Coturnix japonica: one gene and its partners. The protein of the gene in region 7 purifies or fractionates together with the protein of the main gene of each other region. This does not show direct contact. Links are inferred from orthologs where the notes say so. Each region holds a gene or a part of one and is shown on either strand. Other genes may lie near its edges.

Region 1 (3,490 bases), on a different chromosome or scaffold from region 7:
CAATCAAATAAACAAACAACCAGGTTCTTCAGACAGATTTTGTTGGATAAGTACAGTGCTTAAAGCTGCCTGCAAGCTAATAGAATTAGGCTGCTTCTTGTAGAGGGTCATACTCAGTTTTCCTTACTGACCTTTCTAAAATACTTCTGTGTGTTTCTCTTGAAGGGGATGTCTGCATTATCTCAGCCGAAAAAGGAGCCTGTTCTGGCATCAGTTAAGGATTACAGTCTATCAGAATTGTTGTCCCAGCTGGATTCAGGGATTTCACAGACTATGGAGGGCCCTGAGGATCTCAGCCGCAGCTCTTCTGAATCCAAACTTGCTGCCAGTGACAAGCGGCTTTCAGGAGTTTCGTCTGTAGATTCAGCTTTTTCATCCAGAGGCTCCCTTTCCCTTTCCTTTGAAAGAGAGAGTTCAGGTAATGGTCAGGATGTTTTTTTATTGTTGATTTTTCTGTTTCTGTGATTGTTTGGACTGGTGCATGGGAGCTTATGGGTTGGAGAGTGACTGTGTGAAGAGTAGTATGTCCTGTTGTCCTAACTGCAAATTTGTTTGCTGGTGGCAGCTATTAAAAAATAAAATAAAGAGATTCCCAAGCACAATATAGTGAGTAATAATACATTTAATTTGCTTTTGAAAAGAAGGTACCTGAATTCCCATCAAAACAATTACAGAATTGGTTGTGGAAATGTTGATTAGAAAGGAGATCATCTTGTCTAGTGCCCTGGTCAGAGTGGGACTAAAGCCAGTGCCAGTACAGGAGCTTGTAGCTTTTGCAGTTAATACTGAGCCCAAATGTGAGCACCTGTCTTTTGAGAAGATTTCAGCAGTTTTCTCAGCAGCCCCAGGAACATTGTAATAAAGACCCCCCTGGAGATCCCCTCCCTTTTCAATATGTACTGCATAAAATAGGCACCTCTTTTCCATGTAGGCAAAGCATGATAACTGTAGGGAAACAAACTTGCAGCTTCGTTTGTTCTTAGTTTCACTGGAGACAGAATAAGAGGAAGTGTGGGTTCCAAATGTGATGTAAACTGGCTCTGAAACTCCTGCAGGTACAGCAGTGGGAGAGGGAGGCTTTTTTTTTTGCAGTCAGAAGACACTACTGAAGCCACCAGCTGTGCTAGCCAGGGATGAGTAAGGGTTGGCAAGAATCAGCATTGTGATGTTGTTTTTTTCCGTCTAGATGTAGGTACTACGGACATACAGAAAAGGAAGCTAACAGAAGCCATTTTAGCTGGTGACACGAGCAAGCTGATGAAGATCCTCCAGCCTCAAGACGTTGACATTGTTTTAGATGGGAACTGCAGTCTTTTGCACTTAGCTGTTGAAGCTGGTCAAGAAGAATGTGTCAAATGGCTTCTCCTTTACAATGCTAACCCAAACCTCACCAACAAGAAAGGATCCACCCCTCTTCACATAGCCATTGAGAAGAAAATTAAAAGCATCGTGGAGCTGCTCATGGCAAGGAAAATCAATGTTAATGCCAAAGATGAGGATCAGTGGACTGCTCTTCACTTTGCTGCCCAAAATGGGGATGATTTCAGCACCAAAATGCTGCTTGATAAGAATGCATCCTTGAACGAGGTAGATTTTGAAGGCAGGGCCCCCATCCACATAGCCTGTCAGTATGGCCAAGAGAATATTGTGCGGATTCTGCTGAGAAGAGGCGTTAACGTGAACATCAAAGGAAAGGATGACTGGGTCCCTTTGCACTATGCTGCCTGGCAAGGTCATCTTCCCATCGTGAAGCTTCTGGCCAAACAGCCAGGTGCAAATGTAAATGTGCAGACCGTGGATGGAAGGACCTCGCTACACTTGGCTGCTCAGCGAGGTCACTACCGTGTCGCTCGCCTTCTCATAGACCTGGAGTCAGATGTCAACGTACCGAATGCACTCTCGCAGACTGCTCTCCACATAGCTGCTGAAACTGGCCACACAAGCACATCCAGGCTGCTTCTTAAACATGGTGCAGACATTGAGGCAGCAACAGCGGAAGGATGTACTGCTCTGCACTTGGCATCTCGCAGCGGCCATTTAGCAACAACGAAGTTGCTGATGGATGAAGGGGCCAATGTTCTTGCCAGAGGCCCATTAAATAGGACAGCGTTGCATCTTGCTGCAGAAAATGGGCACTCTGAAGTAGTAGAAGAACTTGTCAGTTCAGGAAACATCAATATTTTTGACGACGAGGGGTTGACAGCTCTTCATCTGGCTGCAAGAGGAGGGCACACAAAAACAGTTGAGGTTCTTCTAAAGCATGGGGCACTCACTGATCTGCAGAGACCCACATTTCAGACCCTGCTCCGGCTTACTCAGCAGGGCAGCAATAGCTCAGTTACTGTGTTGTTAAGTAAGACTTAATCAAAAGGTACGGTACTTGCTATCTTTCTGCCTGGTGTGGTGAGAAGGTTGCTGGAACTTGATTTACAAGAGCCTTGTCCAGCCGTGCAGTGACCTGCTCACCAGCAGCGTCAGCAGATGGACTGAGGGGCAACCAGCAAGGAGCTACTCATGTTTGAGTGTGTGAGAGAGGGAGCACATGGACTAAAGCCAAAAGCAAGGTTAAGAGCTGAAGCCCACCACACTGTGGTCTGGATCATCCACTCTGCGCGTGCCTGCCCCACCTGTATAGTGATATTCCCTTCCCACACAGACGTTGTGAGAGTAGGGTGCAACTTGTGGGTTCCCCTTGCTTTTTTTTTGACAAACTAATTTAAGGACTAATATTCTGATTTTCCTCAGAAAAAGGATGGATTAGGTCCCTGGTTTATTGCAGTGATCTATATTTTGGGCTTGAAGCCTCCAAAGTAAAATAAACCTAACACAGATCTGCTGGAAGTGAATGCAAGAGATGAAGAAAGAGCTATTCAAGATACTGTTAATCACAAACCCTGGCTAAGTTTCGTTTTCAGAAGGTATTCTGTTTAATGGAGATACACTGATTACAGTTTTCCATGTAATCAAGATGAATAAGGCAGACTGTCATTAACAAGGATCCAAAAGCTACATGAGCAGAAGTAAAAGCTTAACACTGATGTCTTCATATGCAGTACCATCTTCTATGCATTTTAAGATCAGTGAGCTGAACTGTGTTCTTAGTGGTTTCCCTTAAAAAGCCAAACAACAACAATAAAATCATTCTGGACTGTAACTGGATGGTATATTCTAACACCATTAAATCTATTTGCAAAGTGATGTTTGTAGGGACATGTTAGAGAGCCATACCAGCCATGCCACAGTACATGTCCTGGGAGAATGAACTGTGTGTTGCCTAGATTGATATACTGTGTATATAGTATTTCTATCTGTTGTATGCTTTTTTTCTACTGAAGAAAATAGATTGTGTAGAGTGGGTATGTTTTAATACACCTTTTAATTTCACTCTTGTCAAGGTCCGAATGTGGCACATTATTAATAAAAATATTGTGTTCCATATCTGCCCTGTATTTTGTCATGTTGGTTTTCTTTTCCCATCTTCATGCAAAGC
Region 2 (3,500 bases), on a different chromosome or scaffold from region 7:
CCCATCCTCGTGCAAGCACCCGGACTTATTTGCTGCTATCTCTTTGCTGTCACTGCTGTGAACGCCCATTCTGTCGCCACTGTGAACGGCAGTGACCTCCCTGTGCTGCCTTTCCCTTCCTCAAACATCCTGTGTGAGCTCAACCCACCTCTCTTCCCCTCTTACAGAATGGGATCGTTCACAGGGACTTGAAGCTGGAGAACATCCTCCTTGATGCCAATGGGAACATCAAGGTGAGGGGCTGTTGGCCTATGGCCGTACATTGGGGTTCACTCAACAAAGAGCTCAGGGATGCTGGCACATGGGGGGGGGGGCTGTGATGCCATATTCCCCCTAGGACACGTGGTCCTTATGGCCTGGAATGAGAGAGCAAGGCTGAGAGATGGGGATCATGGGGCTGCCCCTGTGATCTGCAGCTGTGAAAGGGAGAGGCTGCAGAAGGAGAACGTCAGAGTTAAAGCCATCAGTGTTTATCTCTCTGCTGATAAGAGGGCAAAGTCTGAAGCAGGCTTCAAAACAAGACACACTGGGGAAGAAGTGGTTTCTTAGTGAAAGTCTCAATTGCCATAAGCACGGGGCAGCCAGGTGCTGCTTCACCCCATGGCAGTGCCTCCCTCCTGGGTCAGAGTGGTTGGAGATAAAGGGATGGGGCTTTATCTGTGCAGTGGGTGATGGTGTCATAGGGAGCAGAAGGCACAGTCCCAAAGTGGTGGCTGTCCTGAGCATAATGAGTGCCCACATATTAGCAGAGCTGATAGGTGCTGATCAACCTCATGTAGGTAAACCAGAGGAGAGCCCTGTGCTACTGCTCTGGTCACACCTGGACACAGCTCCACAGCTTCAGGTGGTGAACCCTTCCAACCTAAGCGATTCTATGATGATTCTTTGTTTCTCTCCAGATTGCAGACTTTGGCCTGTCCAATGTTTACCAGCAGGACAAATTCCTGCAGACATACTGTGGTAGTCCCCTCTATGCGTCACCTGAAATCATCAATGGACGGCCCTACAAAGGCCCAGAGGTACGTGGTACCCTGTGAGTTGGTCTCACTGCCTCTCAGCTTGGACTTGGGGCAGCTCTGGGTGTTCTATCTATATGGGAGCCAGGATGGCAGAGACTTCTTTGGGGTAGGAGTTCCCTGAGGCAGAGCAATGTGTTAACTGGGTGTTGTGTTTGGCTGGAGGCAGCTGGGGGTGGTCTTGCCCTATGTCATGTCCTGGGGTGGTGGCCTGGTCCTGCTGCCTTCACCCCAATGTCCCCATCCTTCCTGCAGGTGGACAGCTGGTCCCTCGGTGTCCTCCTCTACATCCTGGTCCATGGCACGATGCCCTTTGACGGCCATGACTACAAGACCCTGGTCAAGCAGATCACCAATGGTGACTACCGGGAGCCCACGAAGCTGTCAGGTAGGCAGACCCCACCTCCCCATGCATTCCACCCTCCAACCTGTGCTCTCCTGATACCTGACCTTCCTGTCTCCTCCAGAAGCCTGTGGGTTGATCCGGTGGATGCTGATGGTGAACCCGGAGCGCCGTGCCACCATTGAGGACATTGCCACACACTGGTGGGTCAACTGGGGCTACCGTGTGCCCGTCGGAGAGCAGGAGCTGCTGCGGGAGAGCAATGAATCCCCATTGGCCACAGTGGCTGAGTGGTTACGGTGCTCATCCCGACCCCTCTTTGAGAATGGCTCCAAACTGAGGTGCTTCTTCAAGCAGCACATCCCTGGCGTGGCCCTGGAGCGGCAGCGCTCCCTTAAGAAGTCCAAGAAGGAGAACGATGTCTCCCATGCACTGCAGGAGGGGGCTGCAGCTCCTGAGAACCCCTCCAAGTCCATCCTCAAGCGGCCCAAGGGCATCTTGAAGAAGAGGAATTCCTGCGAGCAGAAGGTGCCCGTCCCTCCGCCAACAGCTCCTGGGGGAGAGGTGAAGAGTGAAGATGGGGATGTGACTGCTGTGGGGCTGAGCCCAGCGCTACCCTCTGCAGTGCTGGGGGGCAGTGAGGGCAGCAATGTTGTCCCTGTGGCTGTGCCCAAGAAGGGAATCCTAAAAAAGCCCCCAAAGAGGGAATCAGGGTATTACTCATCTCTGGAATGCAGTGAATCTGGAGACGTCCTGGATGCAGGGAGCTTGGACCTTGAGGGCAACGCGTTTGCTGACAGTCCCACCACTGAGCAGGGCCCCCCTGTCCTCCCCAGCAGCCGGAAGGGCATCCTCAAACACAACAGCAAATACTCCAGCAATGCTGAGCCCCACAGCTCCCCCAGGCAGAGCTTTGGATGCTTTGATGAGGTGCCCTTGCCCAAAGCCCCCCTTGCCCCCCGCCCTCGCCCACCCAGCGCTGTGAGCGAGGACAGCATCCTCTCCACTGAATCCTTTGAGCAGCTCGACCTCCCCCCACGTATCCCCCCGGGCAGCAGCAGTGGGGCCATGAGGGGCTGCGTCTCTGCTGACAGCCTCCTACGCTTGGAGGAGGAGGAGGAGGTGGATGAAGGGCGCAGGCTGCGCCGCTGGACTGTAACACACTGCCCCAGTACATTGGGGGAGAGCCGCTTCTCTTTGGAGAGCTGTGATAACGTCACCGAGGTGTATCGACGTGCCATGGCCATCAACATGAAGCTGAGCTGAGGGTAGCCTACGGTTATAGGGATGGGGTCCCTTAGCTTGGGATGGCCCCTGCTGTGGGGATAGGGGGGCACAAGTTCCCCCTTCCCCAGGGCTTCCTTGTGTCCATAGAGGGGGCTGCCCTGTGTCCCCCCCCCCCCCTATTTATTTTGCAGCCTCCCATAGGAGGTTGGATGCACACAGGGATTGGGTTGTGGGGTGGGGAGGGGGATGCTCTTAGGGCATATCTCAGAGAGGAGGGGGTGATAAAAGGACCAAAGCCCTATGCTGCCCCATTGCCCCCCCCCTCCAGCTCCTGCTAAGGGGAAGAAGTGCTCTCCATGGCACCACACTGTCCCTCCATTCAAACAGGTTCATCTCATGGGAGGGATGAAATGGGTTGGGATGGGGGGTGGTTCTTTGCACTGTTTTATTTTTGGCTGCACATGATAACGGATGGGGCAGGTAATATACCTCAAACAACTGGAGATGTAGCAAGGAATGGATGGGAGGCTGTCCTGGCTGCAGGCTGGGGTTTGCTGGTAATGGGGTGCAGCCCCATCCTTCTGCTGCTCTAAGAAACCCAACTGGAATGAAGCATCGACTGGAATGAAGCACCAACTGGAAGAGAACATGCACTGTGATGGCAATGAGCTGAGGCTGCAGGAAACCCAGAGCTGCCCCACAACACAGTCTGGAAATGGGCTCTGATGTCTATTTTTCATGGTGTAAGGAAAGTTAAAAAAGAGCCTTTTCTAAGGCACTGCTTCTTTATTTATTGCCTCGTGTCCGAGTTAATGTAAAACTTCATCAGCACTGGATTTGCCGAGCTCAATATCAACCCTCCCCCCCCCCTTCTTGTGGGTGTTTGTGGCTGTGCTGCAGCCCCATTGCACTGT
Region 3 (3,500 bases), on a different chromosome or scaffold from region 7:
TCTGTAACTCTCTTGCAGATTCACAGTTTCAAGAAGTAAAAGATCCCTTGACGTGCTTTGGAAAGTGAATGGTTCTTTACTAGAATCATATTTTCTTTTCAAACAGGCCACTCCTCCGGTGAACATTCCAGGGTCGACTAAATTCACTCCCAATGGCAGCAGCTTTAGCATCTCTTGGCAGTCGCCTCCAGTTACCTTCACTGGCATTCCAGTAAGTGGATGATTAAAAAAAAAAGAAGAAAAAAAATAGTTTTTTGTGTGTTTTCACAGTATCTCATAACAGTAGTAATTTTGACATAACAAGTTAAATTATAGCCCAGTTCGCTTGCTTGACTGATTGTAGCCCTCCTGCCAGTCTCTTAAATGCAATACAGTGATTTTTGTCTTTTGGGGTTTTGTTTTGGTGACCACAAGCAGAGAACTGGACTTGACAGCATGCTTTTAAAGTACCTGCTTACAAAAGAACTTCCTGGTAGGTGCAGAGCCCGTCACTGCGTGCTTGTTTTTCTGCCACTGAGAGATCGCTTATGAGGCCAGAGAAAAAATGAACAAGGCAGTGGTTATGTTAACATGGTAATCGGATTGAAGCAGTAGGGCTGTTACCAAAGTGAACCCTGAAGATGAATTGTTGAAAAGCAACAGAAGGAATGAAGTGTGAAGTCTGACCCCAGTAGGGTACAGGGATGTATCCTCTACTGACAGCAGAAAATTGTGTGGCTTCGCACAAAAGATGTATTTAATGCGCTAAATATTTTCACTATTAGTTTTGATGTTAATACATGCTGCAGCATGACGAGTTTTTAATGAAGCATTAGATGCAAGGTCAGCTCTGGCTCTTTCTTCCAATAGATAATAGAACTGCAGAAGTTGGTTGGTTGCTGAAACGTAGATTTGCAGTAGTCCTAAATGTAAAGCAGTGCAGGTGTGGGTACTGTAGGGGGAGGTCAAAACCTTAATGAAAGCTTCAGAGGGATTAGGTGTCTGGTGCCTAGCATGGTGAGTGCTCGGGTTAAACGTAGTCACAGAATCACAGAATTATCAAGGTTGGAAAAGACCTAGAAGATCGTCTAGTCCAACCATTAGATCATCTAGTCCAGCCATTTGAAGTTTGAACTTGAAGTCGCTGCCTTCAAGTAATGGAAGATCTTCTGTGTAAGAAGGAGAAATAAATATATGTAAAATTTATTCTAATTTTTACTGGAAAGCATTTTTTGCTATAAATTAGGATTCCCTGATCATAAACTCCCTTCATATGATAGTTTCATTTAATATGATAGTATTAATATTAATACAATAGCTTCATTTAATATCGTGCTTTCTGAATTTTTACAACATGCCGCATAAATACACGTTGCTCATTCAAAGAACCATACAGCTTTTTTTCCTACTACCAGTGAATATTGGGCATGGTGATAACAGACGCTGTTTCCCTCCCTTTTCTTCACCAAGTGAATCTCCAACGCTTCTTAATGTCAACCTTTGGCAAATCTTGGAGATTTTCTCAGCCTGTGGTATCCTGCAGGTCTGATAAAAAACCAAAGTGGCTGAATCAATTACGCCGTGCTCTGCCAATGAATATGTATTAAGTTCTATCAAGGAACAACTCGCAGTGAAAGACATCACGCTGTCAGCAATTTGAACAAGAGCGCCTTGACAGAGCGTGCTTTCTGCGAAGTTCCTCGAGTATTTGATTTCACAACAATGGGGTTGATACAGAGCAATTACAAAACTGGCTCCTTCTGTGGAATAGCAGAAATCGGTGCCAGTAGTGTTGGGAATCTAAAAGTGCAATTATCCACACTGTAAATCAGACTCATAAGAGGACAGGATTAGACATGTGTGTTGAGTTTACTTGCTCAAGCAACAATGTTGAGCTCGAGCTTTAGAGCTGACACTTCTTAAGGAATTTAAGAGATGCCAAATGGCTTTCAGAGAACTGTGTGAAGATGCCAGTGATTTAGGTACAATTCAGAAATAATCCCAGTGCAAAAACCTTGGGAAGTGCTGATGGTTGCAGAGTAATAAAGCACTCTGGGAACCACATGATTTGATTTTCATGTGTCTGCTACATAGGTAGTAGTAGTGCCTCCTGTTTATTTCCATGGAAACTCCAACAGATACAAAGGGCACAATAACACTGGTTGATAGAGCACGTTCTCAGGTACAAAACACAGTTTTTCAACACAGTCACCACCATTAGCTGTACATTCTTGCCAGCCATGAACAAGAGCCTTCGTGAATCAACACGGAGGTGATCCAGTGTCAGAGTTCTTAAAAAGAATGAATGCATGCATTTGCTGCGTTCCCCCAGACCTGAAGTGATGCTGCTCTGTACTCCAGTTTACTCTGCTTGGGTGACTAGACATACAGAAAAGCAACATGGAGCTACTATTGTGTATATATTTACACCTTCAGCTTTGTCAGACCTCCAGGTTATTCGTGTTTGTATGCTAGATACTGATTTCTCCTTGGTATGTCAGCCATTGTGTATTACAAATTACTTCTTCTGGAAGCAGTTCTACCTGTTTGCACCAAACAAAGCAGTGTTGCTGCCATTGACTTAAAGGTGTGTTTCTATTGCCTTCACGTCTGCATGCAGTTCATAAATGACCTTTTTGTCTGTATTGACAGGTCTCACCAACTCACAGTCGTCCTGCCGGGAGTGGGGAGCAGAAGCAGTCCCACACAGTTCTTTCCTCACCACCCAGAGTAGCGTTTGGATTGAGGTACGGGACCATTGGCTCCTGCTGACAGACCAGCAGCTTCAGACCTTGGGGGGTGTTCTGGGGAAGAATGAGTTGTCGAGGAGTGAAGAGGGCACAAACTGAAGGAGAACTGCAGGTCTTATGCCAGGTAGATGTGAAGTTCAAATGCCCAGTTTGACTCTCGGATCATTGCACATGCTACAAATGGAACTCAGGATGTTCCCAATCTGTAGACTGTGCCCATTGTCAGTAATGAAGAAACACGTATATATGCAGGAGAATAATCACAAGGCAGATCCTGTGTGCCAGGCCGTATCTCATGCTGGTATTAAACAGTTGTGTCTGTACACGCACCTGATTTAAGGACTCTGGGTCTGGAGGCACTGCTGCACTGAGCACTGGGTCGTTCCTTGTAGCACTGCTCCTTAAGTTTGCTACGTGTTGAGTAGAAAAGTTCCGTTTTAACAGTTTAATCATTTTCTGCACTTGTCTTTTGAGCTTTAAGTATGGTGCTAGGATGGAGCACACGACAATCACAATGGCATTAAAAGCAGGTATTGCCTGCTTTGCTGGCTTCAGGGAGGAAAAGAGCACATGAACACGTTGCAGCTGAGGGCTGAAACTTGTTTTTAATTGCCTGGATGTTGTTCAGTGTGTGAGCTCAGCAAACCACACAGGAAGGATGTACAAACTTAGGAGCTGGCAGCTCTTCCCCTCTTTTGCATAGCTGCTGCATGCTTACAGTCAAGGTCTGCTGCTCTGAACTGTGCGAGGTATTTGTAGTGCAGTGCTACA
Region 4 (4,043 bases), on a different chromosome or scaffold from region 7:
ATGGGCAGGTAGGCAGTGGCGGATGGTGGGATCAGGTAGAAGGGCAGGCACAAGGGGGGCTGGTGGGCGTGGGGGGGCAGGAAGCCGCCCGCAGTGCCCATCACCTCGTTGCCAAAGGGGCTGTCGTCATCAGGCACCTCCAGCCTGCTCCTCTTGGCCGGAGGGTCCTCGCTCTCTTGCTTGATGGAGCTGATCCTCTCCTGGACGGCGTATTTCAGTTCGGTATCCTTTGGGAAATAGGGCTGCTCCGGTTTGGAGTCGTTTTTCTCCAGCTCCCCCCCATAGCCGCTGTCCGTGTCTGTGTCGCTGCCGCTCTGCTCCCCGCTGGAGGCAGCGAATGTCCTTTGGATGACGGGCACACAGTTCTGCCCGCGCCCCTCGCCCGCTTTGCCCCCCGGCACCGTCTTCTCCTTCAGGTCCTTGGGGCTGCCCGGCAGCAGCTCGGCCGCCACGCGGTGCAGGTGCCCCACCAGCTGCGCTGCCTTCAGCTCCTTGTTGTCGTGCTTGGCCACGTACTGCAGCAGCTCCTTGGCGCACAGCTGGAAGCCAGAGCGGAACATCTCCTGGCTGGAGTCGAGGTTCCTCGCGGACAGGTCACCTGAGGAAACATTAACAGGGAGAAATTAAAAATTAACAGCACGCCAAATACTTCCATCACCACCTCCAGGCTGACAGCACGCGTCCGGTACAACACAGCCAGCACAGCAAACTCAGTGGCCAACCTGAGTTCCCACAACTTATGCGCCAGAATCCAACCTGCTACTTTCACATCCCTCCATTCACTTCTACCCGTGCCCTTCATCTTTCAATTCTGCATTTGGCACTTCCACTGGGGAACAAGCAGACAGTGCATCCCACACCCAGCAGGACCCCTCAATGCCACGCTGTGCCCCCACTGCCAATGGGTCTCCCCTGGTGCTGTCCCTGCAGGGCAGTGGCACCTCGTTGGCCAAGCTCAGTTTGACTTTATCAGAGCCATGTGAATGCCACGTGTGCAAGCAGCAGGAGGAAGCAGAGGGAGCGAGCAGCCACTGTGCTGAGCCCCGTCCACCTGCAGAATGAGGGAACACAGATCTGCACACGGACAGCGGGTGTTTGTGTGCTCTGGGGGAAAAGGAAAGCGCAGAACCAGGATCCAAAGCTCATGAATGGAGAGAGCTGAACGACTTTGGAGAGGGCATCACAGCAAAGCTGCGCTTTAAATAAAACTACTTCAAATCCACTTTAAAATGAAAGCGACCGCACAGCACGCCTGGCTCCGACCCCATGGAGAGCTGCACTTGCTCTGCACAAGCAAAGCGAGAGAAACTGATGGCAATCAAAGGGCAGAGGCTCAGGCATCCCTTCCCCGCGCAGTGTCCCCGCACGCTGCACTCACGCACCTGCCTGCAGCCCGCTCTGCAGCGCCAGGATCTTCTGCTGCTGCTGCTCCGTCAGCGCCGTCAGCGCCTTCAGGTGCTTCAGGGTCAGCTCCAGCACCACCGCCTTCTCCAGGTGACCGAGGGTCTGCGGGCAGAGCACACAACGCGTTGGACGCTGCGGGGGTGGGGGTGGAAATAGGCGCTGGGAGACATTCCCACGGCAAAGGTGGGGGCGATTTGGGGCAGGGACTCGGGGGCAGCGCTGCTAATTGGGGAAGGCACAAGTCGTGCTTCCTGTGAACAGAAATATCCGGAATTTGGACGGAACACACAGAGAGCAGCCGCGGGGCAGCCCCCGGCCCCACATCCCGGGGGTATTTGGGGACGCCCAACCCCGAGCACAGCTCCGTGCCTCGGCGCTGCTGCCCCCGCCGGCATCGCGCGCTCAACGCAGGGCCGGGCCCGGAGCCCCGTTGTGCCCGTACCGTCAGCTTGAGGTGCTCGGGCAGCAGGTCCTTGAGCTGGGCGATGCACTCGTTGATCCTGTCGCGGCGCTTCTTCTCTATCAGCCTGTGGGGCAGCTTGTAGGTATCCTGTAAGGAGCGGCGGGTCAGCGCTCCGCACCCACCCTCCGTCTTTTTGCCTTCTTTCCTTTTTTTCCCCCTTCCCAAATAATCGCTAAACCCACCACGCATTCCACCCTCTGTTCTTTTTTCCTTTTCCTTTTGCTTTCCCCCCCCCTCCCCACCCAAATACTCACGCACCCCCTCCGCCCCCCACCCCGCAGCATTTCTTTTTTATTTCCCCCAGAATTACCCAGTGGAGGCCCCTTCCCCCCTTCCCGCATCACCCCACAGAAGCTCAGCTCTCTTTCTCACTCCCCCCCATCCCAACGATCGCTGACCCCCGCCCCGCACCGCCCACCCCGTTACCTTGCTGTCCTCGCTCCTCTTTAACCCCCTCCTGGGCTTGTACACTTGGTACATGTGCGCGAAGTCCAGCCTGCACGGGCGAAACGAAAGCAGCGAGGTTACCCCTGTCCCCGGGGCCGCGGCGGGGGGACGCTCTCGTGTCGTCCTGTCCCCCCCGCAGCCTTACCCCGGCACATCGGCGCTCTCCAGGGCGGGCAGTTTGCCCAGGCACACGGGCGGGGGCTGCGCGCTGGGGATGCGCTCCATGGGGGCGCGGAGCGGAGCGGTGCCGCGGGAGCCGGGAGGAGCGGAGCGGTGCGGTGCGGTGCGGAGCTCAGCGCGGGCAGCTCATGCCGCGTCCCCGCCTCGCCGGCTGAGGAGCGGAGGGAGGCGGAGGGCCGGGTTAAATGCGGCCGAGTGGGTGGACGGCGGCGACGTGCGTTACCCTGTGACTCCCGGCACGTCTGGCCGGGCTCCCCCCCCCGCTCCCTCCCTCCCTCCATCGCCGTCACATGAGGCTCACGTGTCGGCGAGCGGCGGCCTTCCTCCCCCCGCCCGCTCCGCCGTGCAACGTGCCGGGGGGGGGTGGAGGCGGGGCGGCCGGTCCGTGGCCCCGGGTGGCCCCGACCCCGGTTGCTTCCCGGCCGCCCCTCGGGCTCTGCCCCGCCGTCCCGCAGCGGAGCGGGGCAGGAGCTCGGCACCCGACTCCCGTTCTTCAACACTCCCGCGGCGCGTCGGTAATCCCCGCTGCCGGAGCCCTTTGGCTGCTCCCTTCTCTCCGAGCCGTCCCGAGGCTCGGGGTTTACTCATGACCTTAAGGGATGTTGCCAAGGATTTTGGAGTCCCCCTAAAAAGAGGATCCGAGTGGAGCGATGGCATTCCTGGGCGGCAAGTGGGATGGCGGAGAGTTGGGTTACATTGTCCTCCCTATGATCAGCTTTCATAAGCTGGGGCTGATGCAATCAGCAATTTGTCTCCGAGATTTTGTTTGCTGAATTATTTCTGCGCAGAAATGCATACATACAGGGCGTACAGAATGCAGCAAAGAGGCCAAATTTCCTGCAGTCACGGGTCTGAGGTGCTGTCCCAGGAGAGGAGCAGACAGTGCCCAGCAGTGATCTGCACTTATCTACAGACCCCCCAGAAGCCAAGGGCTCGCAGTTCGGGCTCAAGTTGTACTGAGGGCTCGGAGATGGTGATTTGGGGCAAAACACTGTGAAATCCCAACAGCAGCATCGGATAGAGCCCGTGTGGGCAGCTCGGAGTTAGCAGCTGGGCTGCGGCTTCAGCCTCACGATAAGGTTACTGCGGGTGGTTTTGTTTTAAAATGTCCCTTACTTAATATATCCACGAAGGCCAGGCATGTGCCTGTGGCCTGGAATCAGATAGCTGACTCCTCTGCTCTCTCATTTCCAGCAATCTCGTTTTGGGTTACCAGCACCGGAGGTTAAAGGACGGCCGCAGGCGAAGGTTATGCAGGGCAGCAGCGCTTCGGCTCGGCACCCAGCGGGCACCCGATGGGCATCCCCAGAGCCCTCCTACTGAACACACCCCCACCCTCCCAGCAGCCTGCAGGTGGTGACCAAAGCTCGGACTGAGCCTTGAAAACACACTGCCCAGAGCTGTGGTGCCCCATCCCTGGAGGTGCCCAAGACCATGGGTGGGCCCTGGGCAGCTTGAGCTGGGGGGCAGCCAGCCTGTGGCAGGGGTGGGGGCTGGGTGACCTGTATGGTTCCATCCAACCCAACCATTGCATTAATCTGTGATGGTG
Region 5 (3,500 bases), on a different chromosome or scaffold from region 7:
TTAGTGCCTTCAGCCTGCTTTATACTGAACCACCCCTCCTATTTTTAGGCAGTTTCTCAGATCATTCTAACTGTACTTCTGAGCTTCGGCACACTTGTAGTCCTTCCCAGCTCTGTCTTCTGGAAATTCAATACTCATTATTTTATCATTTATTATATATATCACACGGATCAGGATCCTCTCGTTAGATGAGAAACTGCAGGTATCCACCTCTTTGCATGTTTTTATTCAGCCACAAGAACTTCTCTCAACTGACTATTTTGTCTTGCCCAATGCATACTAGCTCTAATTTAATCAAGGGCTTCGCTGCGTAATTTTATTATTGACACTCCATTACAATTCTGTATGGAAAAGTCATTAGTGAAAGCTGCCCAAAGGACCAGCAAAACTGCCAAGCAGCTGGTATACACACCCCCACAAGTGCAGTTACAACACAATTACCTCTGTTCCCAGTGGGAACCCAAGACAATTGTAGAGAGGTCAATTAGCTGGCATGGCAAAACACACCCTTTTAGCATCACTGCACTAATTAGGAATGAAAACATCTTACATCAATTTCATTATGCTAAGGAAAACACAGGCAAGCCACAAGTACTTACAGCTCCTTTGCATACTGAAGTTTGTACTTTTTTTCTCCCCCCCCCCCCCCCTTACCTTTTCTGGCTCTTCTTGAGGCTGTTGCTGATCTCTAAACTGTATGTTGCACACCCTTTGGGTATTGGCAACAGAGCGTTTCAGGGGCTCATCGTCACTGTCTGAATCCACATAGAGAGCTGCAGAGCTCTTTGATTTTAAAGTATACTTCCTGTAAATTAAAAAGCACAGCTATAGAACTTCAAAGCACTGCACAAATCCGTTTCATAGTAATCAATGAATAACTGCTACAGCAGATTTTCAGGCTGTGGGGAGATACAATTTAGGGAACAAGCTGCAAGTGTTGAAAATAGAAATTTACCAACATGCAGGCAATAAATAAACACTTCATAGCTTGTTTACCCCACAGCCTACCAAGGGTTGCTTTTCTCTTTCACAAGACACCTGTTACACGATGTAGCACAATCGCTACAGAATTACACAAGCCAAGAGCCAGCACTTCATCACACAGCAGTCCTGGACAGCATTCATTTGAGACAAGGCCACAATAACAGGTAGAACTCAGCAGAAACCATTTACTTGACTCCTGAAGTTTACAAAGCTGGACGCAAGACTTGTCACATCAATACTAGGATATACTCACATTAATACTAGGATAGAAAGTTGCAAGTCTGCATAATTTTTTGTTTTCCAAAACAAAAAAAGCTCCTTCACTGGAATAAATCCTTGTTTCTTTAGAGCAGAAGATGAGAGACTTTGAGTCTGAGATACGTCCTCAATTAGGAAATTTGTTCTACATGCATTCCACAATGTGAAACTCACCAGTGCAATTTCACATTTCCCACTATGTCAAAAACTGGCCTCTCAGGCCATAATCACATCCTCCCACCTTTACAAACAAGCTCAAGGAGCCAACCACCTGTTTCCTAACCTCATTGCAGCTCCATAAATAAAAACAGGGAAAAAAGGAGTCAGACTGAAGAATTAGAAAACAAGTTGTTTCTTATATGTGTGGTTTGTGACAATGAATGCAAGGCGGTTTAAAATACTTGGCACTGACCCATTATCTGCACAAACAAAACGCAGCTCTCATCAAACCTTCTCCATGAAAAAATTCTTCTTTGCTTTCTTTTGAGTTCCCAAAGGTTCTCAAGAGAAACGCTAACAGGACTGTGTCAATTAGGCAGATGGTAGCATTAACATTTCTTTCAGCTAACACTTAACACCAATAAAGCTCAGATATCAAAAAACAGCACCGAAAACAACTTACACAACAGACAGCACAGACAAAGAACTATGCAATTCCAAAGTGTCTCAAAAGCCATGCCATGAAATGCCAGGCCAAGAGCATTTCAAAACTTTCACTCACCTACAAGGTGTAGAAGTGCTTACAGTACAGGAATTCACCATTTGGGAGGCTTTCAGGGGACGGGAGCTATTACAAAAGCAAAGTATTTATCGCAGCAGTTAGTCTTTAAAACAATATATGTTTACATGTCTGCTGTGCATGCAAATCCATGTTCAAAGCAGCAAGTAGAATACCATTACGTGCTTGCTAATTGCTTGTTTTTAGAGTAAGAACTCCACGATAGCATAAATATACACCAGCAGTTCAAAACCAGATGTAATCCTTTAAATTTGCACTTCTTAGCGATGCACCCTTAGGGACAAGCTCTCAAATCAAAGGCGTTGGACTCCCACGCCAAGGGAACTCTTTCCTCTTTCCCTGGTTCCCAGCAACACTTGAGTTCCTGCTCCCAAACCACAGTCTCTTGCTGCTGCCTGGATTAGCTGGTTTTCTGGCACATCCCACATCTCCATTTCTCCTCTAGATCTTCTAAGCAAATCTCCTGCTCCATTTGATCCTTTTATGGACTCCCTGAAGTCCATTGCTACCACTACACCCATCGAACACATGGTTACCAACACAGGAACCATTTCCATCATTCTCTTCAAAGCAAGGCAATTTCTCCCCAGCTTTGTCACCTTTTCACTGTTTGGGTTAATCAAAATGGTTTCAACAATTACCAAACGGGCAACCATTGAAAAGCCATTTAAAATATGTTTTAAAGCATGCCTGCATTGGTTAGCTTAAACTTTTCATTATGTTTAGGAGGTGAAGATTTCTAGTCTTAATGCAAAACCTTAAGAAGCCTCGAGGTAAATCTCAAACTCCACTAAGTATCCAGCAAAAGACCACGTGCTGTATTGCTGAACAGATACCAGATGTATTCTATCTCACTACATTTACAGCATGTCAGAAGGCAACGCAAGGCAAGAGACCTAAGGGATTTCTGTTTCTTATTCTGACACATTTGTGTGACTTCTGCTACTTTTAATCTCTGTGTCTCAGGACAAGCAGCTGTACCAAAATAACTGCCCTAGGGAAGAGTATTTTCAACACATGAAGTGCTCAGATACTGTAGTAGCACAGTAAAGACAATGAAAAATGAATGACATTGTGAAGTGTGCAAGTGGAAATTAACAGAAAAAGGAATGATGTCACGCTTTCTCAGCAGAATTAAGCATGCTGCAAACAAAAAGAAACCTAGATGTTGTACCAAGAGGCTAGATTAAATATCTTGCACCTGAGGCTGCATAATTTTGATGGTTCTTTATGCAGACGTCAGATGGAGTAGATCTGACAACTGACAACCTCACTGTGGGTGCATAACACAGCATGGGCAGAACCTAGGCTGTACACTTACATTGCAGAATGGGCACTCCAGCCCAGCGTCAGTGGCAGCCTGGTGCTTTCTGTACAGTGTGAAAGCAGGGTTAAGTATCTTGGAATAACCACCTGCTGCCCAACTTTATGATTGAGAGACAACTCTACATTGAAGCTGTATCGTTTCAGATGAAGAATCAGAACCCTGAAAAATATGAGAGAAATACAAAATCGCAAC
Region 6 (3,500 bases), on a different chromosome or scaffold from region 7:
GTAATCTTCTGTACCAAATACAGAGAAAGGGAAATAAAATGATGGAGGAAGTCTGCCATGTCCTGCTCCTGCTGTCACCAGTGCTGTGGGAAGTTGTGCAGCTGTACCTCCTTGTAACATTGAGATCCTAGTGTGCCCTAGAAAATACCCTTTTCATGGGCTGCTGCTGACTGTAAATAATTCACTGGTTTGCAACTCCTTCAGGAAACCTGGAAACATGCTATTGAAAAAGCAAAGCACATGCCTGATCCTTGGGCAGAATTTCATCTTGAGGACATCGAGACAGAACACGCCACTCGCTACAGGTCTGGGGTTTTTTTGCTCTTAATGCTGAAATGAAACAGAATCTGATGTCTTATGCAGGGCCTGTGAAATGTGGTGTAGAGTGTGTGTTCAAAGTGAACGTCTTAACCAAACCTCCCAGAGGTACATAAATACTGCATGCAGTCAGAAAATGAAACCTTTCAGCAAGACACTGTCTTGTTCTTCTCCCTCTACCACCTGAGCAGTTTCACTATGCGGATAGGAAACAAGAATTTTCTGATTACCTTATTAATTATGAAAACTTAATCTAATAAGGAAATAAATTCCAATAAACAAGCAGATTTTTTGCAGTGTTTTATATTTATGTTGCAAGTATTTAAATAGCTTAGGAAAAAAATGATACTCTGTGCCTTTCCCAAAATAACAGTTTCATTGTTGCTTACCCATGCAGTATTGCTGTGGAATTTACATCCTTACAAAGCCCAGAATAGCTCAGCATGGTGTACGTGCTGAAACCCAGTCTGGCCTGTGAGCTATTCTCAGTGCTTTAGGCCTTGCCAAAACATTTACCCTACTGACACAGGTTTCTAGGAGGAATGGGTAGGAGTTAGAGACCAGTTAATGACCCCTGAGCATCAGTGTTTGGGGAGGCCTCATTCCTATCACATGACACTGTCACTCTGCACTCTCCTTCCCCACAGACTGCATTGGGTTTTACTGTATTGGGAGTTATGGGGGTGAGGAGAAACTGGAGTCATGGTTCGTATTACTGTGGGGTTATGCAGAGACTTGCTCCCCTCGTGATGCAGCGTTGTGCCCCTCTGCTTGTCACAGCCATAGCCTGTAGAGGTTGGTAGAGCTCTTTGTGCCCCCAGTGAGCTGCCATCGCAGAGGAGATTTACTACCAAAGTAGATGAGGCCTATTTTGCATCATTACAAAACTCATGCTTTGGTAGCAGAGTCTGTTTACTGTCCATAGTATGCAGCGTCCATTTGAAGAGGGATAATTTTTTTCTTTCTCATCTGGAAGACTAACCATGTAAGGAGGGCAGGAGCACGGTGGGAAGACTGGAAGTTGTACTGAGTGGCAGCAGGACTTTCAAGCAATTAATTAGAGATGAGGAAGTACAGGTAGTGAAGGTGGGAGGATTTTGGTTTGTTCTGCATTATTTTTAAGAAGCACAACTTCTGGGTTTGCAGGTACAATGCAGTTACTGGAGACTGGGTTGAAGATGAAGTTCTCATCAAGATGGCTTCACAAGTAAGACCATGCTGCCCTTTGTGTTTATTAGCCCTCAAATTTATCATTTCCTTGTTATTATTGACTAGTGGCAGCAGGATTTTTTTCTCACATAAAAGCTTTGATTCTTCTTTTCTCCTTTCTTTTCTGTTCTGGCTCACCCATTATGTTTTGGGATCCTAGCACACTTTTCTTCCCCCAGAAGAGTAGAATGTGGAGTCAGGCCTTCCCCACCAGCACTGTAAGAGCCATTTGATTCTTTTCCCATCTCAGATGGGAAGAGATCTCTGTCCCATCTCAGCGCTCCCATTTCCTGCTGGCCTTATCTCTGCCTGGCAGTAGGCCTACTTATTTTCACTATGTGGGGATAGAAGCTACTGAAACTTGGCAGTTAAATCCTGTGATTAGGGATGAGCTGGAATCACCTTGCTCTCTGTGCTTCTTTTCCCCAAATTATTGTCTTTAGTGGCTGGTGGGTTTCCAGTTTTCCTTGAGGGTATAGAAATGCTATGGACCCTATTTGAGAAGTACTCCAGAGTATAAGGGGGGAGGCACTGTTGTGTCTCTTACTGGTTAGAAATTAACTTTGTGAAAATGACAGTGATGGGTTTGTTTATTTCTTTTCCCAGCCCTTTGGCCGTGGAGCAATGCGAGAATGTTTCAGAACGTAAGTGTTTGTTGGCTTTATCTTTATTGCAGTATTTTCCTCTGTGGTGACTGGAGTTTCTCACAGATGTGACATCTATGTAAAGTGCAGCTCCCCATTGGATCCCTGCTTTGTATTTCTAAAAGGCATTACTAAGGGGTTTACTTCTGTTTATGCAACTCCAACCACAGCACAGGGAGTGGGATTCAGAATGCAGATCATTCTCTTAGGGAAAATGCAAGGAAGTGCAATGTAGGTATCCAGTGAGCTTGCTTTAGAAAGCCAACCCATAGCCTCTACTGGAACCACAGCAGCATGGATAACGTGCAGTTGTGCCTGGCTCTAGCAAGTCTAATCATTCTAGCAATTAGAAATTTGTAAATTCGTGCTATTTTAACCATCTCTTGGAGGTGAAATACTCATAAAAATACAGAAGCTGCAGCTTTGTTTCATTTTTATTGGGTTCTAAATGTGCCATAGTATCTTTAAATTCAGTGTGGCTGTGTGCGCAGTCTGAAGGCCATCTTCAGGCCCTTATTTGGGCACAGAAAAAAGGGGAAGAATAGTTGAGCTCATGCAGTGTCAACTCAGAATGCCTTCCTAGGTAAAGAAGTCTGTCCTCACGGAGTTTCCTTTGGATCATGTGTACCAGACATCTTGTCCTGAGTAAGACAGAGCTTGAACGTTAGCAGTTATTCATTCCAGAACAGTGAAGTGTGAGGGAAGGCAAGAGGAACTATTTTGTTGCCTTCTGAATATTAGGAAATATGTGTGTGGGCATCAGCATCTAGGTGTAAATGAGTCCGTGCCAGAAGAGTGCCCTGTTCTTTCAGTTTCTGGTTATGACTTTCCTGGAAAACATACGTGTGCACTTTTAGGTTTTGTCTCTTCGTTCCAGCTGCAGAATCTAAAGAGGCTGCATTTCATGTCTGGTTTCATTTCTAGGAAGAGAAGCTCCTGAGTTTCAAAAACAACTTGAGGAAAAAAGGGGCAGAGTAACCTCTCAGTCATTCAGTTTTTCATTGTTTTGGAATGGATTCATGCTGGTGGCTCTGTGCTTGCAGAGACACGTAGATAAGAGCAGTAAAGAAGCCTAGGAAGTAACAAATCTTAATCTGCTGACACTGCTTTTAGTTTGTATTTCTGCATGACCAAGTTTCACATTAGGGGATATCTTGAGTAGTGACAGAAACAGATTTATCTTTGCAGCTTAACCTATTGTACAAAGAAAATGTAATTTATGTGCCATCTCCCTGGTCCTAAATCTTCTATAAATCTCTGTGATGCACTGATAATTCCCATCTGGAGTTCTGTAGATTTATACAAGTCTTTCTTCATTACAGTGACAGC
Region 7 (4,171 bases):
GAACGTGTGATAGAAAACAGCCCTTCGCCAGCAGATACAGCCCTCCCTGTGAGCAGCTGCCCAGTATTGCATAGTGCTTATCCACCACAGCTGAATATCAGGAATAAATTAGGCCTTCTTGAAACAGAGAGGTAAACTGAGTATGTGAATGAAGTTAAATACATTACTTAAAGCTGAAAGTATCAGAAGACGTGTATGGTGGCTGAACACACACTGGTAGCAGATATTACCTGAATGCAGCACTGTTTTATCAGTGAGTAATGGAGACACTAGTGGCCAGGGAGAATAATGAGATTTTAGGCTCATTGAAAAGTTACACACACACACCAGCATCCAGAACCTTGTCTGGATTTACCTTGAAGGTAATGAATATAGACACATTAAAAAATAAATAGCCCCTTTTAAGGCAAGATAATGTCATTTATAAGGTTAGCACTGGACAAAGATTCCATGTGACGTTTTTCTCTGAGTGTCAGACATGAAATCAGCAGGTCTGACTTGCCTGATACCTTGTGACTCAGGAGCACTGCGCAAAGTCACTGCCAAAAATGAGGCACTCGCATGAAGTGGAAAATGTATTATTTTCTAGAGGAGCCCCAAAATAACACCACCTACAGGGCTGCTCTTCAACACAAAATGAAACCCAGCACAAATTCACATCAGAAACAGCACCACCAAAAAAGCTGGAGAGATAATAGATCACACACCTACAGATGTTTGAATATTCATCTGTGGTGAGATACATCAGCTCTGGGGAGGTCTCAGGGAAAAGTCTCTAATTAACAGCAAAGCCCACCTCAACCCAAAGCAGAGCTCTTCAGGGAAGGGAGCAGCACACAAAGTGCATCACACACTCGATGAACAGGGTAATATGCTGTGAATGATTCAGCATTAGCTGAGGATCCACTACCTCCATGCAGTAGGTAGCACTGCCACTGCTGCAGTACCTAAGCACTTCCTGAGTGCTGTCAGACTGAAATAACAGGAGACTTCCCAGCAGCATTGAGCTGCCAATTACAACAGGACCTCATTTATTGGAACAACCTACCTGCATACACCTCCACCGACAGCAAATGGAGAACAGGGAAAGCCCACACCAAGTCTGACAAAAACTCTTCATCAACATAATTAAAATGAGAGATGTACTACACAGATTAATGTCGAAGCAAAAGCCTGAGATGTGGTATAAATATATAAATATAAACAAAAGCTTTTATCACTCTCAACCCATACAAATACACGTACACCTCAAAAGTTCAAGGGGATCAGAGGGAAGCTCCCTCTTTCACTGCAATTTTGCATGTACTTTGCTTTCAAGAGGCACTTTAATAAAACATTAAGGAACTTGGTTTAGCTTTTAGCTCTCAGCAAAGCCTGATCCTCAATAATTCTTCCCTTTATCTGGAGCCCTTACCAGATGCAGCTCTCCTAAGAGCAGCTCTCTCTCATGCTCAGGTCTCTCCTCAGCATCAGGGAGTTTTATTGTTCGGGTGGCACACTGCCAGCTGTGAGATGGGCAGGGATTCCCTCAGGTCCCAGGCCCAACCTTATGGAAGATCTCAAATGCCAGGAACTAAGCTATTCACTGGGAACTGAAGCACAGAATGACAAATGCAACACATGAGATGTCAGGGCAGCACACAGGAACACTTGAAGATATGGAAGCCACAATGTAGGTTAAGGCTGCCATCACCCAGCTTGGCCCAACATGAGCACAGCAGGCTCAGGGACACTCCTCTGGCCAACTGCACACCCAAGAAGGTGGTTCATTATTACTAATTGCTACCTTTCCTTTTAAGGTACCCATAGCATTTTCTCACTTCACTGAGCAGAGACCCTATAAATCTGCCAGACTACAGGGCTAGCAGCAAAAAGGTCACCAAACCACAAGAGAAACAAGTTCTACGGGATTAAAAAAGCAGAATTCAAACAAATGTTGCAAAGCTCAATTAAAAAGAAAACATTTGCAAGCAGCACTTCCTCGATTTCACTTGGGCATAAGTTTAATAGAATCGCTTCCTTCTGATGAGCTCAGATTCAGGTCTGTAGGACTGTAAGGCCAACACTAAGTCAACTTTCACCAGGTGCTGCCAAGTACTTCGATGGCTTCCATAGGGAAAGGCCAGTTTTGGGCACACAAAACTGACATTGCATTCAGATGGTACCGGAGTGTACCATATCAACAACTGAAGTCAAAAAAGAATTAAGTTCAAGTGTGTAAAGCCTCACATGTAGGTAAAGGTGCAGAGCATCTGGGCTGCAATCACCCCCAGAGCTGCCTGCCATGCCAAAGAGCGGCCCAGCAGCCCAGGCCGCGCATCCACCATCACTGCAACGCAGCAGAAGGTGAGAGCGGAGTGTCAGCGCGCACAGCTCCGAGCACAGGGCGGAAAGGAACACGGCACACAGCTGCCGGGGGCCGGGGCTCAGCACAGCACAGCCTCAAGTACACGAACGAAGGCAATAACACGACAACCCCACGCGTTCCATCCCCCCCCGCAGCCCCCCGCCCCGCTCGGCTCCCCCTCCCGTCCCCCAACAGCACTTGAACCCCCCGCGGCCCAGGACACCCCGCCCCGCCCCCGCCCCGCCGTGCTCCCCCCGGCCCAGCCCCGCACACAGGTGCCCCCTCGGCTCCCCGCGGCCTCTCACCATGAACTTGATCGCCTTCTCCTGCAGCACGGCCTCGGCAGGGTCCATATCCTCCCGCGGGGCCGCCCCTCCTCGCAGTGCCAGGCCGCAGCCAGCGCCGACACCAACCTGCGCTGCCCCGCGCTCACACCCCCCCCCCACCCCACGCCTCACCCCCGCTACCAACAAAGCGCATGCGCTGCCCGCGGGCCCACGGGAAATGGAGTCCCTCGCCGCGCCGCCGGAGAGGGCCTGAGGGGTGGGAGAGAACTACAAATCCCGGAGGGCTGTGCGGCCACGGGTATGCCGGGAGCAGGGTGACGCACGCGGCGTCAGTGGGCGAGAGGGCTGATGGGAGTTGTAGTACGGAGGAGGTTGTGGCGGTGTAACAGGAGGGCAGGGGCGGAATAGAGGCCGCTGTGTGCGGGGGGGATGGGCCCCTTTCATAAGGACATATGGGCTGTGATACCCGATGGATGTAACAGGCCCGGGCATCACCCAGAATGTGCTGGAAACCAGTGCTGCAAACCCTGCCCACCATTATGTAAATAACAGTAATGATAATGAGAGAGCCCTATAATCGCAAAGGGACACCGCTGTCCTCTGGGCTGATTTGTGAATGTGGTCTTTAAGGTGAGTTCTCAGGATCATACAAAGCACAGGCTCATAGTGGAGCCATAACTGCAATGGCTGATTAAGGACTGGAGTCATCCTTGTGTTAACTAGACTGAACGCCTTGGACAAGAAGAGACCAGCTCAGCTCTCCTCAGCAGAACATTATGGACCCACAATACAGAGCAGAGGGACAGGAGAGGTCTGTACGCACCCCAGGACACCAGCACCCACACCCCAGGACAACCCACAGAGCACCAAGAAATAACGTGGGTTTACAAGAAGTTAAATAACAATTTATTTGGATCACAAGAACCTAGAGCTGTACACATAGTCAGTTCTGCCTCACCCACTGGCAGCTCCTCTCAATCTCTCTTAAAACACCAACCATACATCCCCTCCCTGCACTCCACATCCTTCCTGCAGAGCACGAAGCCAGCCACACACCGCACAGGGAGCTCCCGGTCCTTCCAGATGAAGGATGCTACCTAACGGTAAAGATATTACTGTGATTATTTTTGCACTAGCATATTGCTCTGTGCATTTCGGGCTCTGTGGACCACATCCACGCCTGGTGTAACGCCATGTTAATTTGCTGTGGCAATCATTAATTGGGTAAGGAACAGCTGGTGCTTTGCTTTAAGTGAAGCTGATTGGGTCAGTAAGTAACTGTTTGGGTAAAGGATGTACAGCAGGTAGAGCTTTGCCTCTGTCTGTGCTCCAGAGGGGTTTCACTTCTTGTCCCAGTGACCCTTGGAGGAAGCGATAAGATTTGGCCATGAAACATTAGGGAACTTTAATCAGTGCAGCTCCTCTGGGCATTTTTGCCTGAATTTTAATATTTTGAATAATAAAGGATGATTTTAAATTAAATTTGTGGGCTCACCATCTGTGTGTGCTTGGCCTTGTTTTCCTCTGCTTTGGCAGT

The links.
Region 1: the proteins of BTRC (region 7) and RIPK4 purify together in Homo sapiens (affinity purification with mass spectrometry; 4 studies listed by BioGRID, with this or other methods). This does not show direct contact. The link is inferred for Coturnix japonica from reciprocal best matches to the Homo sapiens genes BTRC and RIPK4.
Region 2: the proteins of BTRC (region 7) and NUAK2 purify together in Homo sapiens (co-immunoprecipitation; 3 studies listed by BioGRID and IntAct, counting the BioPlex papers as one, with this or other methods). This does not show direct contact. The link is inferred for Coturnix japonica from reciprocal best matches to the Homo sapiens genes BTRC and NUAK2.
Region 3: the proteins of BTRC (region 7) and ZNF704 purify together in Homo sapiens (affinity purification with mass spectrometry; 3 studies listed by BioGRID and IntAct, counting the BioPlex papers as one, with this or other methods). This does not show direct contact. The link is inferred for Coturnix japonica from reciprocal best matches to the Homo sapiens genes BTRC and ZNF704.
Region 4: the proteins of BTRC (region 7) and BHLHE40 purify together in Homo sapiens (affinity purification with mass spectrometry; 3 studies listed by BioGRID and IntAct, counting the BioPlex papers as one, with this or other methods). This does not show direct contact. The link is inferred for Coturnix japonica from reciprocal best matches to the Homo sapiens genes BTRC and BHLHE40.
Region 5: the proteins of BTRC (region 7) and USP37 purify together in Homo sapiens (affinity purification with western blotting; 3 studies listed by BioGRID and IntAct, counting the BioPlex papers as one, with this or other methods). This does not show direct contact. The link is inferred for Coturnix japonica from reciprocal best matches to the Homo sapiens genes BTRC and USP37.
Region 6: the proteins of BTRC (region 7) and EEF2K purify together in Homo sapiens (affinity purification with western blotting; 4 studies listed by BioGRID and IntAct, with this or other methods). This does not show direct contact. The link is inferred for Coturnix japonica from reciprocal best matches to the Homo sapiens genes BTRC and EEF2K.

The regions. Positions count from the first base shown.
Region 1 is NC_029516.1:98,228,089-98,231,578, reverse strand, and holds the end of RIPK4 (receptor-interacting serine/threonine-protein kinase 4), read left to right. Parts: intron 1-165; coding exon 166-418; intron 419-1,186; coding exon 1,187-2,364; 3' UTR 2,365-2,990; downstream 2,991-3,490.
Region 2 is NC_029541.1:2,385,387-2,388,886, reverse strand, and holds part of NUAK2 (NUAK family SNF1-like kinase 2), read left to right. Parts: intron 1-167; coding exon 168-233; intron 234-899; coding exon 900-1,019; intron 1,020-1,271; coding exon 1,272-1,404; intron 1,405-1,483; coding exon 1,484-2,625; 3' UTR 2,626-3,500. UniProt on the Homo sapiens protein: Stress-activated kinase involved in tolerance to glucose starvation. Induces cell-cell detachment by increasing F-actin conversion to G-actin. Expression is induced by CD95 or TNF-alpha, via NF-kappa-B.
Region 3 is NC_029517.1:109,697,281-109,700,780, reverse strand, and holds part of ZNF704 (zinc finger protein 704), read left to right. Parts: intron 1-106; coding exon 107-211; intron 212-2,631; coding exon 2,632-2,726; intron 2,727-3,500.
Region 4 is NC_029527.1:15,937,690-15,941,732, reverse strand, and holds the start of BHLHE40 (class E basic helix-loop-helix protein 40), read right to left. Parts: upstream 2,801-4,043; 5' UTR 2,540-2,800; coding exon 2,460-2,539; intron 2,364-2,459; coding exon 2,294-2,363; intron 1,955-2,293; coding exon 1,847-1,954; intron 1,507-1,846; coding exon 1,383-1,506; intron 599-1,382; coding exon 1-598. UniProt on the Homo sapiens protein: Transcriptional repressor involved in the regulation of the circadian rhythm by negatively regulating the activity of the clock genes and clock-controlled genes.
Region 5 is NC_029522.1:24,228,754-24,232,253, forward strand, and holds part of USP37 (ubiquitin carboxyl-terminal hydrolase 37), read right to left. Parts: intron 3,468-3,500; coding exon 3,303-3,467; intron 2,030-3,302; coding exon 1,964-2,029; intron 806-1,963; coding exon 655-805; intron 1-654. UniProt on the Homo sapiens protein: Deubiquitinase that plays a role in different processes including cell cycle regulation, DNA replication or DNA damage response.
Region 6 is NC_029529.1:8,312,019-8,315,518, forward strand, and holds part of EEF2K (eukaryotic elongation factor 2 kinase), read left to right. Parts: intron 1-204; coding exon 205-305; intron 306-1,464; coding exon 1,465-1,525; intron 1,526-2,133; coding exon 2,134-2,171; intron 2,172-3,500. UniProt on the Homo sapiens protein: Threonine kinase that regulates protein synthesis by controlling the rate of peptide chain elongation.
Region 7 is NC_029521.1:20,074,910-20,079,080, forward strand, and holds the start of BTRC (F-box/WD repeat-containing protein 1A), read right to left. Parts: upstream 2,801-4,171; 5' UTR 2,701-2,800; coding exon 2,653-2,700; intron 1-2,652. UniProt on the Homo sapiens protein: Substrate recognition component of a SCF (SKP1-CUL1-F-box protein) E3 ubiquitin-protein ligase complex which mediates the ubiquitination and subsequent proteasomal degradation of target proteins. Recognizes and binds to phosphorylated target proteins.